Schizosaccharomyces pombe: one gene and its partner. Each later gene encodes a partner of the first gene's protein in a complex. Each region holds a gene or a part of one and is shown in the gene's direction. Other genes may lie near its edges. The genes, in order: cyt1 and cob.

Region 1 (4,319 bases):
AGACGAGATATTATAATTACAGCCCTGGATAGCGTCTCGAATTCCCAAGAGGTCTTACTTCTCTCCACAGATTCAATTGACAAGAAAATTGCAAAGGTACGTCGGGTTCAATGATTTTCTATCTTTAAATTTTTCGACTAATTGTTTTTTAGCTTCAAAATTCTACAAACATTTTCTACGTACCTGAACATGAGCCCATTCTAGCGTTTGTCCATCAACTGTCTTCATCCTATACCAATCTTTTAAATTTACGAAGTGCTATCTGTGATTGGTTAAAATTCTCCAGATATCATTACCTAAAATTCTTTACCTTCGTCGAAGCCTATTCTGTGTTTTGTAAAGACACTAAATCTGCAGACAAATGGGCTCTCATTAGTGTAGCATTAGACAACATTGCCAAGGGTGCAGTGCTTCGTTTGACAGAGCAATGTCAAACATCCGTTTTGAGACCTATTTCCAATGGTATTCTTTTCTTCCGAAACCCCCTTTGTGTTACCGATGTATGGATCAAAAAAGCTACAGCATTTTCCAAGCGACGCCAATCTCAGGTTTTTGAAGAGGACCTTGAAAGCTTCCCTTTACTTAGTAATTGCCTTTTAGAAGAACTTCCTCTTTTTTTGGAGATGGCGCGTAATGTTACCGACGAATGTATATTAGCATTTGCTCAAATTCAAGCTACCTTTTACGATACCATTCAGAAAGTCCTTGAACCTGTCGTTGCAAAATTCAACTTAACTGACCACCAGGATATTCCATCGATTGAATCCATAATGGATTTCACCAGTTTGCGGTCTAGTATGGAGTCCTCCCCAAAATCAAAATGAATACACGATATTACGGATATTCCAATGACTTCCGTTACTAATCGACTTTTTGAACTTAAGTTATTTCTCTTTCATTTTTTTTTGACTAATGTGTCTCTTTTTATCACGGTTAAAGGTATTTATTTATTGGATCAATTTTTACAAAATCTTTCTTTTATCTAGGAGATACGTGCTTACTTTAGAATTTGGTTTTTATTAATTTGCTTTATCTTTTACGTATCCTTTTTCATTTCATTTTTGGATGGCAATCTAATTTTGTCACGCAGAAACATTTCCATTTTCAGACGCTTTCGTTTTTGTCGCATCTCCTTCTTTAATTTTAACATTCTTTTCTCTTTAATTTTCGTCGCATTTGTCAGTTTCTTTTGAAAAATACAGCATGCATTGTATTTTTACTACGACCGGATACCTTTCGTGTTAATATTTTACTTTCATCGATATCTTTTCAAAACATGATCATGAGAGGCATTGTATTCTGTTTTTGATATGCCCAATTAACTAATATTTTTCTTCAAAAGCTTCATTGTCTCTTTGCCTTTTATTATTAGTTTATCTATTTATTATGGATTAAAAATAAGGAATTCACATTTTATAATTACAAAACAACAAGGAGCTGACTAACTTTTACACCTTCTTTAAGGAAATAACAAAAAATTGCAAACTATTATAAATTATCTTTCAGTATTCAAATTGACATTTCAAACTCTTATGTCTAAATCTCTGCTTCAAACCTATTCTTGCTTCTAAACTCAATCTTCTTTCTCGACTTTTTCGGGAGTCACTTTTTTAAACAAATACTAATAAAGTAAATTGCTAGAGATACCTTTATTCACCTGCTCGTCTTTGCCAATTGCAAAGTACCTAATTGGCGGATTCCGATCGATACATAGTATGGTGGAATCTAAAATTTTTATACTTACAGCATTGCCGGTACAGAGTATGGATTACATTCTGTAATTAATTATTGCATTTAGTACTCATATATCGTGTCACTTCTTTTAATTCAACCATAAACCATTTCTTCGATGATCTACTTGAAATATCAGTTGGTACAAGTTACACATAGGTTGCAACATTTCAGTGCTTGACATAGGATATTTTTATATGAATGTTGGAAATAATGCATTTTATTGTAAACTTGAATAGGATTCCTGTATGCCAATTATCGTCGGGAAACGCTACGCATACCCCGGGAGCGGACGCACTACCACCTTCCAACCACACCCATCTCCACTCACCCAATAAAGAACAGGGAATTTAAGCAAATTCTAGTATTTGAGTCAAAACAGAGCGAAACGTGAAGATGTTTCAATTTGTAAAGAAAAAAAATGAGTTTTTAAAATTTGCGAGACTTGGCTCTCGAGTAAGTGAAATGTGATGGCTGCTATTCGTGGAAACGGAAGCAAGCATAGCTTTTGACAAAAGAACGATCATTAACGGGGTTTAGGCATTTACCCAAAACGCACAAAAAACACATAGCAAGGGTTCAAATATTGCTTTGGTTAGTAGCTCATTACTTTCCGTAGGCATGATAGCCTTGTATTATAACGTGTATGGTCCAAGTTTGTCCGCTGGCACTCCAAAGGAAGAAGGTCTCCATTTTATCCAACACGATTGGCCCCAAAGCAAAGTGTTGTCTGGTTTTGATCATGCTAGTTTACGTCGTGGTTTTCAGGTTTATCGTGAGGTTTGTTCTGCCTGCCATTCTCTCAATTTAATTGCTTGGCGTCACTTAGTAGGTGTTACTCATACTGCTGATGAAGCAAAACAAATGGCTAGTGAAGTTGAATATGAAGATGGTCCTGACGATGAAGGAAACATGTTTAAGCGCCCCGGTAAACTTTCCGACTTTTTACCACCTCCATATCCTAATGTTGAAGCTGCACGTGCCTCCAATAACGGTGCAGCACCTCCCGACCTTTCCTGCGTCGTTCGTGGTAGACATGGTGGTCAAGACTATATCTACTCTCTTTTAACCGGTTATACCGAACCGCCTGCTGGTGTCGAAGTTCCGGACGGTATGAACTTCAACCCCTTCTTTCCTGGTACTCAAATAGCTATGGCCCGCCCACTTTTCGATGATGCCGTTGAGTTTGAAGACGGTACTCCAGCCACTACGGCCCAAGCTGCCAAGGACGTTGTAAACTTCCTTCATTGGGCCTCCGAACCCGAATTGGATATTCGTAAGAAGATGGGATTCCAAGTTATCACTGTCCTTACTATTCTGACCGCTCTGAGTATGTGGTACAAGCGATTCAAGTGGACCCCTATTAAAAACAGAAAGATTTTCTACCAGAGACCCATCAAGTAAGAAACATGATGTTTATTGTCTTCATGGTAAGACGATTGCGGAAGAAAATTTTTTTGGACTTAAACTTGGCAGTTTATCCAACACCGAACGTTTACCGGAATTTACAATCATGCAAATGCGTTCCCTTTCTTCTTCATTTTCTCTCTTTTCTGGTCCCCCTTTCTATTTGTTTTCCTACCTGTCATTTTCTGAATTTATTCTCCTCTCCACTTTTTATTTCCTCAGTATTTAATTTCCTCTATTCGAAATTTCGTATGTCAAACAAGAGTTGCAAGTCGTTTTCAATAACAAAAAAAACGAATTGAAGTAGAGGGTGAAAACTTTACGCTTCAAGATTGAAAAGATCTAAGCTGACGTTGCTATTTTTTTTTCTGATTTATACCTCTAAGGATGTTAAATAACATACATTCATGATTGAATTTAGTTTTGATTGCTATAATTTTAGCATTCCTGTAAACAATATTTGCTTTTGTGTAGTTTGGAAATTCAAAGTAGTAGTTGTCATTATACTAGTATCAAATAAGAGTAACTGGCTATTCTTTGTGCCAATCTCTAAATTTTTTCTACAGGTTTTGTATTTCTTAAGTTTGGTGTCAAGAAAACAACTTCGATAATGACATCGATGTCAAGTGCTTTAAAAATTTAGAAGTGACAGTAAAACTCACTTATTAACTCGAGCTGTTGTTTTTTAATAACATTTTGAAAAAAATACTAATTTAATTCAAGATTGGTTTATATTTGAACAAGCCGAGCAGTAAAAAAAATGCAGAAAACGTTTGTAAAACAACTTGCTTCTAAATGTTAAATGCTCTTTGCACACGTATGTTAGAACGCTTGATTCATCCTAAAGTTTTCTTTATCATTTTAAGTCATATTTACATGTCAAATTTGTGGTTACGCTTGGAAAAATATACAAGAGTAGAATTTAACTTACTTAAATCAAAATGATCTTTTATACCATATTAAAAATTGAATTACTAATATAATCAATGAAGTGCCCTGACATTTACTAGTTTACCTTATCGCCATCTATCATCTACACCTATCCGTTAATTGCAGCCTTAGTGACTTCAAAGTTGGTTCCTCGTTTACTAGATTAAGAACACTTTTGGATCTGCTTCTTTAGAGAACATATATTGCTAGGTCGTTGTTTATTACTAACTTTAAATCGTGTAAAATTATAG
Region 2 (6,035 bases), on another chromosome or scaffold:
TTCGGTCCTCAACATTTCTTAGGATTAAATGGTATGCCTAGAAGAATACCAGATTATCCAGATGCATTTGTGGGATGGAATTTTGTATCAAGTATTGGTTCAGTAATTTCTATTCTTTCATTATTCCTATTTATGTATGTTATGTATGATCAATTTACATCAAATAGAGTGGTTAAAACAAATCCTTATTTAATCCCTAGCTATTTTGATGATAATGTAATCTTCGTAAATGAAAAATTAGGGGTAGCTCAATCAATAGAATGGTTACTACATTCACCAGTACACGAACACGCATTTAATACATTACCTACAAAAAGTATTTAATTTAAAATCTTAACCCCCCTTTTATTTTATAAACTTTATTCCAATTTAAAAATTGGAGAGGGAGATTGAAGGATAATTTAGCTATCCTATTCAAAATTGTATCTTTATAATTTTTTTATTCCTTATATGTGAGAGAACACTATTGAGATAAACTAATTTAGCTTAAACATGAATCTTTCTACTAAATTTCAAGGACATCCTTATCATATTGTAAGTGCGTCACCTTGGCCATTTTTCTTATCTGTAGTATTATTCTTTAACTGTTTAGCAGCTACATTATATTTACATGGATACAAACATTCATCAGTATTCTTTGGAATCAGTTTCTTAGGTTTATTAGCAACTATGTATTTATGGTTTAGAGATATGTCAACTGAAGCTAATATTCATGGTGCACATACAAAAGCAGTAACAAAAGGATTAAAAATAGGATTTATGTTATTCCTAATTTCTGAAACTTTCTTATTTGCTTCTATTTTCTGGGCTTTCTTCCATAGTTCATTATCACCTACTTTTGAATTAGGTGCAGTATGGCCACCAGTAGGAATAGCAGATAAAACAATAGATCCATTAGAAGTCCCTCTATTAAATACAGTAATTTTATTAACTTCTGGTGCTAGTTTAACTTATGCTCATTATTCATTAATTGCTAGAAATAGAGAAAATGCTTTAAAAGGTTTATATATGACTATCGCTTTATCATTCTTATTCTTAGGAGGTCAAGCTTATGAATACTGGAATGCTCCATTCACTATTTCAGATTCTGTTTATGGTGCTAGTTTCTATTTTGCTACTGGTCTTCATGGTATTCATATTATTGTTGGTACAATTCTACTTCTTGTTGCTACTTATAATATTTATACTTACCACTTAACTAATACTCATCATAATGGATTTGAATGTGGTATTTATTATTGGCATTTCTGTGATGTTGTTTGGTTATTCCTTTATTTAACTATTTATATTTGGGGTAGCTAAGGCTTACTTCAATTTTTCCCCCCTTTTTATATCTTATTTCTCTAAAATAGTCTGTATAGCTCAATGGTAGAGCATCTCACTTCTAATGAGTCGATCTAAGTTCGATTCTTAGTACAGATTCCACACCTAGAAGGTGTGTATTTTTTTTTTAGCTAATTTAACTCAATTGGTAGAGTGCGTACCTTGTAAGTACGAAGTTAGAGGTTCAATTCCTCTAATTAGCAATCCCTTTCCCATATTTTTGGTATAAGAGGATCTCAGATAGTATCTAACCTATCTTATCTTTTATTATCCAATATCCTTTTAATAAGATTTGGATCTTTTTTCCCAATTCCTTCAAATTTTTGACTATTTATCGATAATGATTGTTCAATTTAGAAGGGATAATTTCAAATTTAATTTTTATGAAAATTTTAAAATCTAATCCTTTTTTAGCTTTGGCTAATAATTATATGATTGATGCTCCTGAACCTTCAAATATTTCATACTTCTGGAATTTTGGTTCTCTTTTAGCTTGTGTATTAGTTATTCAAATTGTAACTGGTATACTTTTAGCTTGTTTTTATATTCCTAATATGGATTTAGCTTTCCTTTCAGTTGAAAGAATTGTTAGAGATGTAAATTATGGTTTCTTATTAAGAGCTTTCCATGCAAATGGTGCTAGTTTCTTCTTTATCTTCTTATACTTACACATAGGTAGAGGTTTATATTATGGTTCTTATAAATATCCAAGAACAATGACATGGAATATTGGTGTTATTATCTTCTTATTAACTATTATTACTGCCTTTTTAGGTTACTGTTTACCAGCTAATCAAATGTCATTCTGGGGTGCAACTGTTATTACTAATTTATTATCAGCTGTTCCTTTCATTGGTGATGATTTAGTTCATCTATTATGGGGTGGATTTAGTGTATCTAATCCTACTTTAAATAGATTCTTCTCACTTCACTATTTAATGCCTTTTGTTATTGCTGCTTTATCAGTAATGCATTTAATTGCTCTACATACTAATGGTTCATCAAATCCATTAGGTGTAACAGCTAATATGGACAGAATCCCAATGAACCCGTATTATCTGATAAAATTGCGCCGTTGTGGTATATATGTGTACCCTCATAGAGAAAGGGATATCTTGTGTGTAAAGATATGAACAATACACTTAGGTAGCTGGGGAAACCCAATGCCGAACAGAGCATGTGTACAGAAGGTCCTTCCTGTAACGAAACAGATAAGTTCAGATGGATCAGTTCAAATAGATACGGTTAGAGCTGTATTGCCCGAATTCCAATTCCCATCTCACCCTCAGATAGGTGATTGTCTTAGCTGAATAGAGACATTCTTCTCTAGATCTTTGGTTGGCTTTTATGACCAAGGATACACACCAGGAGAAGAGAGTTGTACCAATAGTACAATTAAGGGAATGAGTGGAAAACCTACGTCTATCAACTCAAACATATATACAACTACGGGTCCCGCTAAGGTCAGTAATGACTATGCGGTCAGAGATCCTGGAGTAGCTGTTGATCATTTTGATCAATACGGTCCTTTGAAAGAGGGAAGAAGTTTGAACTCTGCAAAGATTTCAACACAGTGAAGTGGATCAGCTACATTAAAGTCTTCCAATAGATCAATATTTAATATTGGTTTAGGATACATTAATACTTTTTTAGGGGTATCTAATGTAAGAGGATTTAGTACAGGATCAGGACGATCAAAAAATGTACTAAATAAACTAGACGATTTATCTAAACGATCAAAAAATTATCCTAATCTTGTAATTGATAGAAATCTCTACAAAGATTTCCTATTAAATCGAGATATGTTCCTTATTGCTTATAATAAATTAAAATCTAATCCTGGTATGATGACTCCTGGTCTTAAACCGGATACTTTAGATGGAATGTCTATAGATGTTATTGATAAAATTATCCAAAGCCTTAAATCTGAAGAATTTAACTTCACTCCTGGTAGACGTATCTTAATTGATAAAGCCAGTGGTGGAAAAAGACCATTAACAATTGGTAGTCCTCGAGACAAATTAGTTCAAGAAATTCTTAGAATAGTCCTTGAGGCTATCTATGAACCATTATTTAATACTGCTTCTCATGGATTTAGACCAGGTCGAAGTTGTCATTCTGCTCTTAGATCTATTTTCACTAATTTTAAAGGTTGTACTTGGTGGATTGAAGGAGATATTAAAGCTTGTTTTGATTCTATCCCTCATGATAAATTAATTGCTCTATTATCTTCTAAAATTAAAGATCAACGATTTATTCAATTAATTCGTAAAGCTTTAAATGCTGGATATCTAACTGAAAATAGATATAAATACGATATTGTTGGAACTCCTCAAGGTTCTATAGTTAGTCCTATCTTAGCAAATATCTACCTTCATCAATTGGATGAATTTATTGAAAACCTAAAATCAGAATTTGATTACAAAGGTCCAATAGCTCGTAAAAGAACTTCTGAATCTAGACATCTTCATTATCTAATGGCAAAAGCCAAAAGAGAAAATGCTGATTCAAAAACAATTAGAAAAATAGCGATTGAAATGCGTAATGTTCCTAATAAGATACATGGTATTCAATCTAATAAACTAATGTATGTTCGATACGCTGATGATTGGATAGTTGCAGTTAATGGAAGTTATACTCAAACTAAAGAGATTTTAGCTAAAATTACCTGTTTCTGTTCATCAATTGGACTAACAGTATCTCCAACTAAGACTAAAATAACTAATTCATATACGGATAAAATACTTTTCCTTGGTACTAATATTAGCCATTCTAAAAATGTTACCTTTAGTAGACATTTTGGTATACTTCAAAGAAATTCTGGGTTTATTTTACTTTCTGCTCCTATGGATCGAATTGCAAAAAAACTTAGAGAAACTGGACTTATGCTTAATCATAAAGGTAGATCTGTTATTAGATGGTTACCTCTTGATGTACGACAAATTATTGGTTTAGCGAATTCTATTATTAGAGGTTACGATAATTATTATTCTTTTGTTCATAATAGAGGAAGATTTGCTACTTACGTTTACTTCATAATTAAAGACTGTGTTCTTCGAACATTAGCTCATAAATTATCATTAGGTACTAGAATGAAAGTAATTAAAAAATTTGGTCCTGACCTTTCTATCTATGATTACAACTCTAGAGATGAAAATAATAAACCAAAATTAATTACCCAATTATTTAAACCTTCTTGGAAAGTTAATGTTTGGGGATTTAAATCTGACAAAGTTAAATTGAACATTAGAACACTTTATGCTTCTCACTTATCAATGGCTAACTTAGAAAATCTACAGTGTGCTGCTTGTCAAAGTACTTATAAAGTGGAAATGCATCATGTTAGACAGATGAAAAATCTTAAACCAATCAAAGGTACTTTAGATTACTTAATGGCAAAAGCAAATAGAAAACAAATTCCATTATGTAGATCTTGTCACATGAAACTTCATGCTAATAAGTTAACTCTTAATGAGGATAAAAAAGTTTAGATATCTTAAATGTAGTGGAGAGCCGTATAATTACGAAAGTATCCCGTACGGTTCGGTGACGAGCCGTGTCAACCCTGCAAAGGGAATGCGTCTTAGTTCAATGATTTGATAACAATATTTATCTTCTTAATCGGTATAAATTATATGGCATTCTATAATCCATATGGATTTATGGAACCAGATTGTGCTTTACCAGCGGATCCTCTAAAAACTCCAATGTCTATTGTTCCAGAATGGTATTTATTACCTTTCTATGCTATTTTAAGAGCTATACCTAACTTCCAATTAGGAGTTATAGCAATGTTATTATCAATCTTAGTATTACTATTATTACCATTATTAGATTTCTCAGCTATTAGAGGTAATAGTTTTAACCCATTTGGTAAATTCTTCTTCTGGACATTTGTTGCCGATTTTGTAATTCTTGCATGGATTGGTGGATCACATCCAGAAAACGTCTTTATCACAATTGGTGCTATTGCTACAATCTTCTATTTTAGCTACTTCTTTATTTTAATACCAGTATATACTATATTAGGTAATACATTAATTGATTTAAATTTAAGCTCAATTAAACGATAATCTCTTCCCCCTTTACACTATATAAAAATATCTTATTTAAACAGTATAATATTTAATAAAAAGCTCATCAAAAGGTATGAATAAAAGTTTTTTACATAGATTAGGTAATAAAACATTCTTTGGGTGTTAGTAGTGATTAGAAGAAGTTGATCTTTTAGGGATTTATTTTTATCAGAATTTTTACGGTCAATTTTTATCTAATTAAATGTGAATAAGTTTGCGATTTAATGTAATTGGTTAACATCTCTGACTCATGATCAGTGTATTAAGGTTCAAGTCCTTAGGTCGCACTTTATGCTCTGATAACTTAACGGTTAAAGTGCAGTATTGAAGCTGCTGAGATATTGGTTCGATTCCATTTCAGAGCAAATAAAAGAATCTGTAGCTTAAAGTAAAGTATCGCCTTGTCACGGTGATGGATGCCCACTCGTACTGGGTCAGATTCGTTTAAGCAGATATAAGTCAATTGGCAGACCTTCTGATTTCCACTTAGATTATGTTCGTTCGAATCGGACTATCTGCATTAAATAAGCCTAAATGCTGGAATTTGGTAGACAGAACAAACTTAAGATTTGTCGCTTTCGAGCGTGTTGGTTCGAGTCCAACTTTAGGTATAACTAAAAAAAAAAAAGAGTATAG

What was found.
Region 2: the proteins of cyt1 (region 1) and cob are in contact, whole or in part, in a cryo-EM structure (PDB 8Q1B), measured with the Schizosaccharomyces pombe proteins. Residues at the interface, in NP_595846.1 of Schizosaccharomyces pombe: Gly63 (codon at 2,398), Glu67 (codon at 2,410), Val82 (codon at 2,455), Leu110 (codon at 2,539), Ile111 (codon at 2,542), Arg114 (codon at 2,551), His115 (codon at 2,554), Cys180 (codon at 2,749), Arg183 (codon at 2,758), Gly184 (codon at 2,761), Arg185 (codon at 2,764), His186 (codon at 2,767), Ala258 (codon at 2,983), Glu260 (codon at 2,989), Pro261 (codon at 2,992), Glu262 (codon at 2,995), Arg266 (codon at 3,007), Lys267 (codon at 3,010), Met269 (codon at 3,016), Gly270 (codon at 3,019), Phe271 (codon at 3,022), Val273 (codon at 3,028), Ile274 (codon at 3,031), Leu277 (codon at 3,040), Thr278 (codon at 3,043), Leu280 (codon at 3,049), Thr281 (codon at 3,052), Ser284 (codon at 3,061), Met285 (codon at 3,064), Tyr287 (codon at 3,070); in YP_011104932.1 of Schizosaccharomyces pombe: Ser24 (codon at 1,776), Tyr28 (codon at 1,788), Phe62 (codon at 1,890), Glu66 (codon at 1,902), Arg70 (codon at 1,914), Asp71 (codon at 1,917), Phe76 (codon at 1,932), Leu77 (codon at 1,935), Asp217 (codon at 2,355), Ile219 (codon at 2,361), Pro223 (codon at 2,373), Tyr224 (codon at 2,376), Tyr225 (codon at 2,379), Ile227 (codon at 2,385), Lys228 (codon at 2,388), Leu230 (codon at 4,920), Ile231 (codon at 4,923), Phe234 (codon at 4,932), Ile235 (codon at 4,935), Leu237 (codon at 4,941), Ile238 (codon at 4,944), Asn241 (codon at 4,953), Tyr242 (codon at 4,956), Ala244 (codon at 4,962), Phe245 (codon at 4,965), Tyr246 (codon at 4,968), Pro248 (codon at 4,974), Tyr249 (codon at 4,977), Pro254 (codon at 4,992), Ala257 (codon at 5,001).

What each region holds. Positions count from the first base shown.
Region 1 is NC_003423.3:2,071,196-2,075,514, forward strand, and holds cyt1 (cytochrome c1 Cyt1), read left to right. Parts: upstream 1-2,040; 5' UTR 2,041-2,127; coding exon 2,128-2,187; exon of another isoform or gene 2,188-2,271; coding exon 2,272-3,135; 3' UTR 3,136-3,547; downstream 3,548-4,319. Other genes in the region: gef3 (RhoGEF for Cdc42/Rho3/Rho4 (Gef3)), read left to right, coding at 1-96, 153-824. UniProt on the Schizosaccharomyces pombe protein: Component of the ubiquinol-cytochrome c oxidoreductase, a multisubunit transmembrane complex that is part of the mitochondrial electron transport chain which drives oxidative phosphorylation.
Region 2 is NC_088682.1:8,469-14,503, forward strand, and holds cob (apocytochrome b), read left to right. Parts: upstream 1-1,706; coding exon 1,707-2,390; coding exon of another isoform or gene 2,391-4,814; intron 4,815-4,916; coding exon 4,917-5,396; downstream 5,397-6,035. Other genes in the region: cox1 (cytochrome oxidase subunit 1), read left to right, coding at 1-324; cox3 (cytochrome oxidase subunit 3), read left to right, coding at 493-1,302.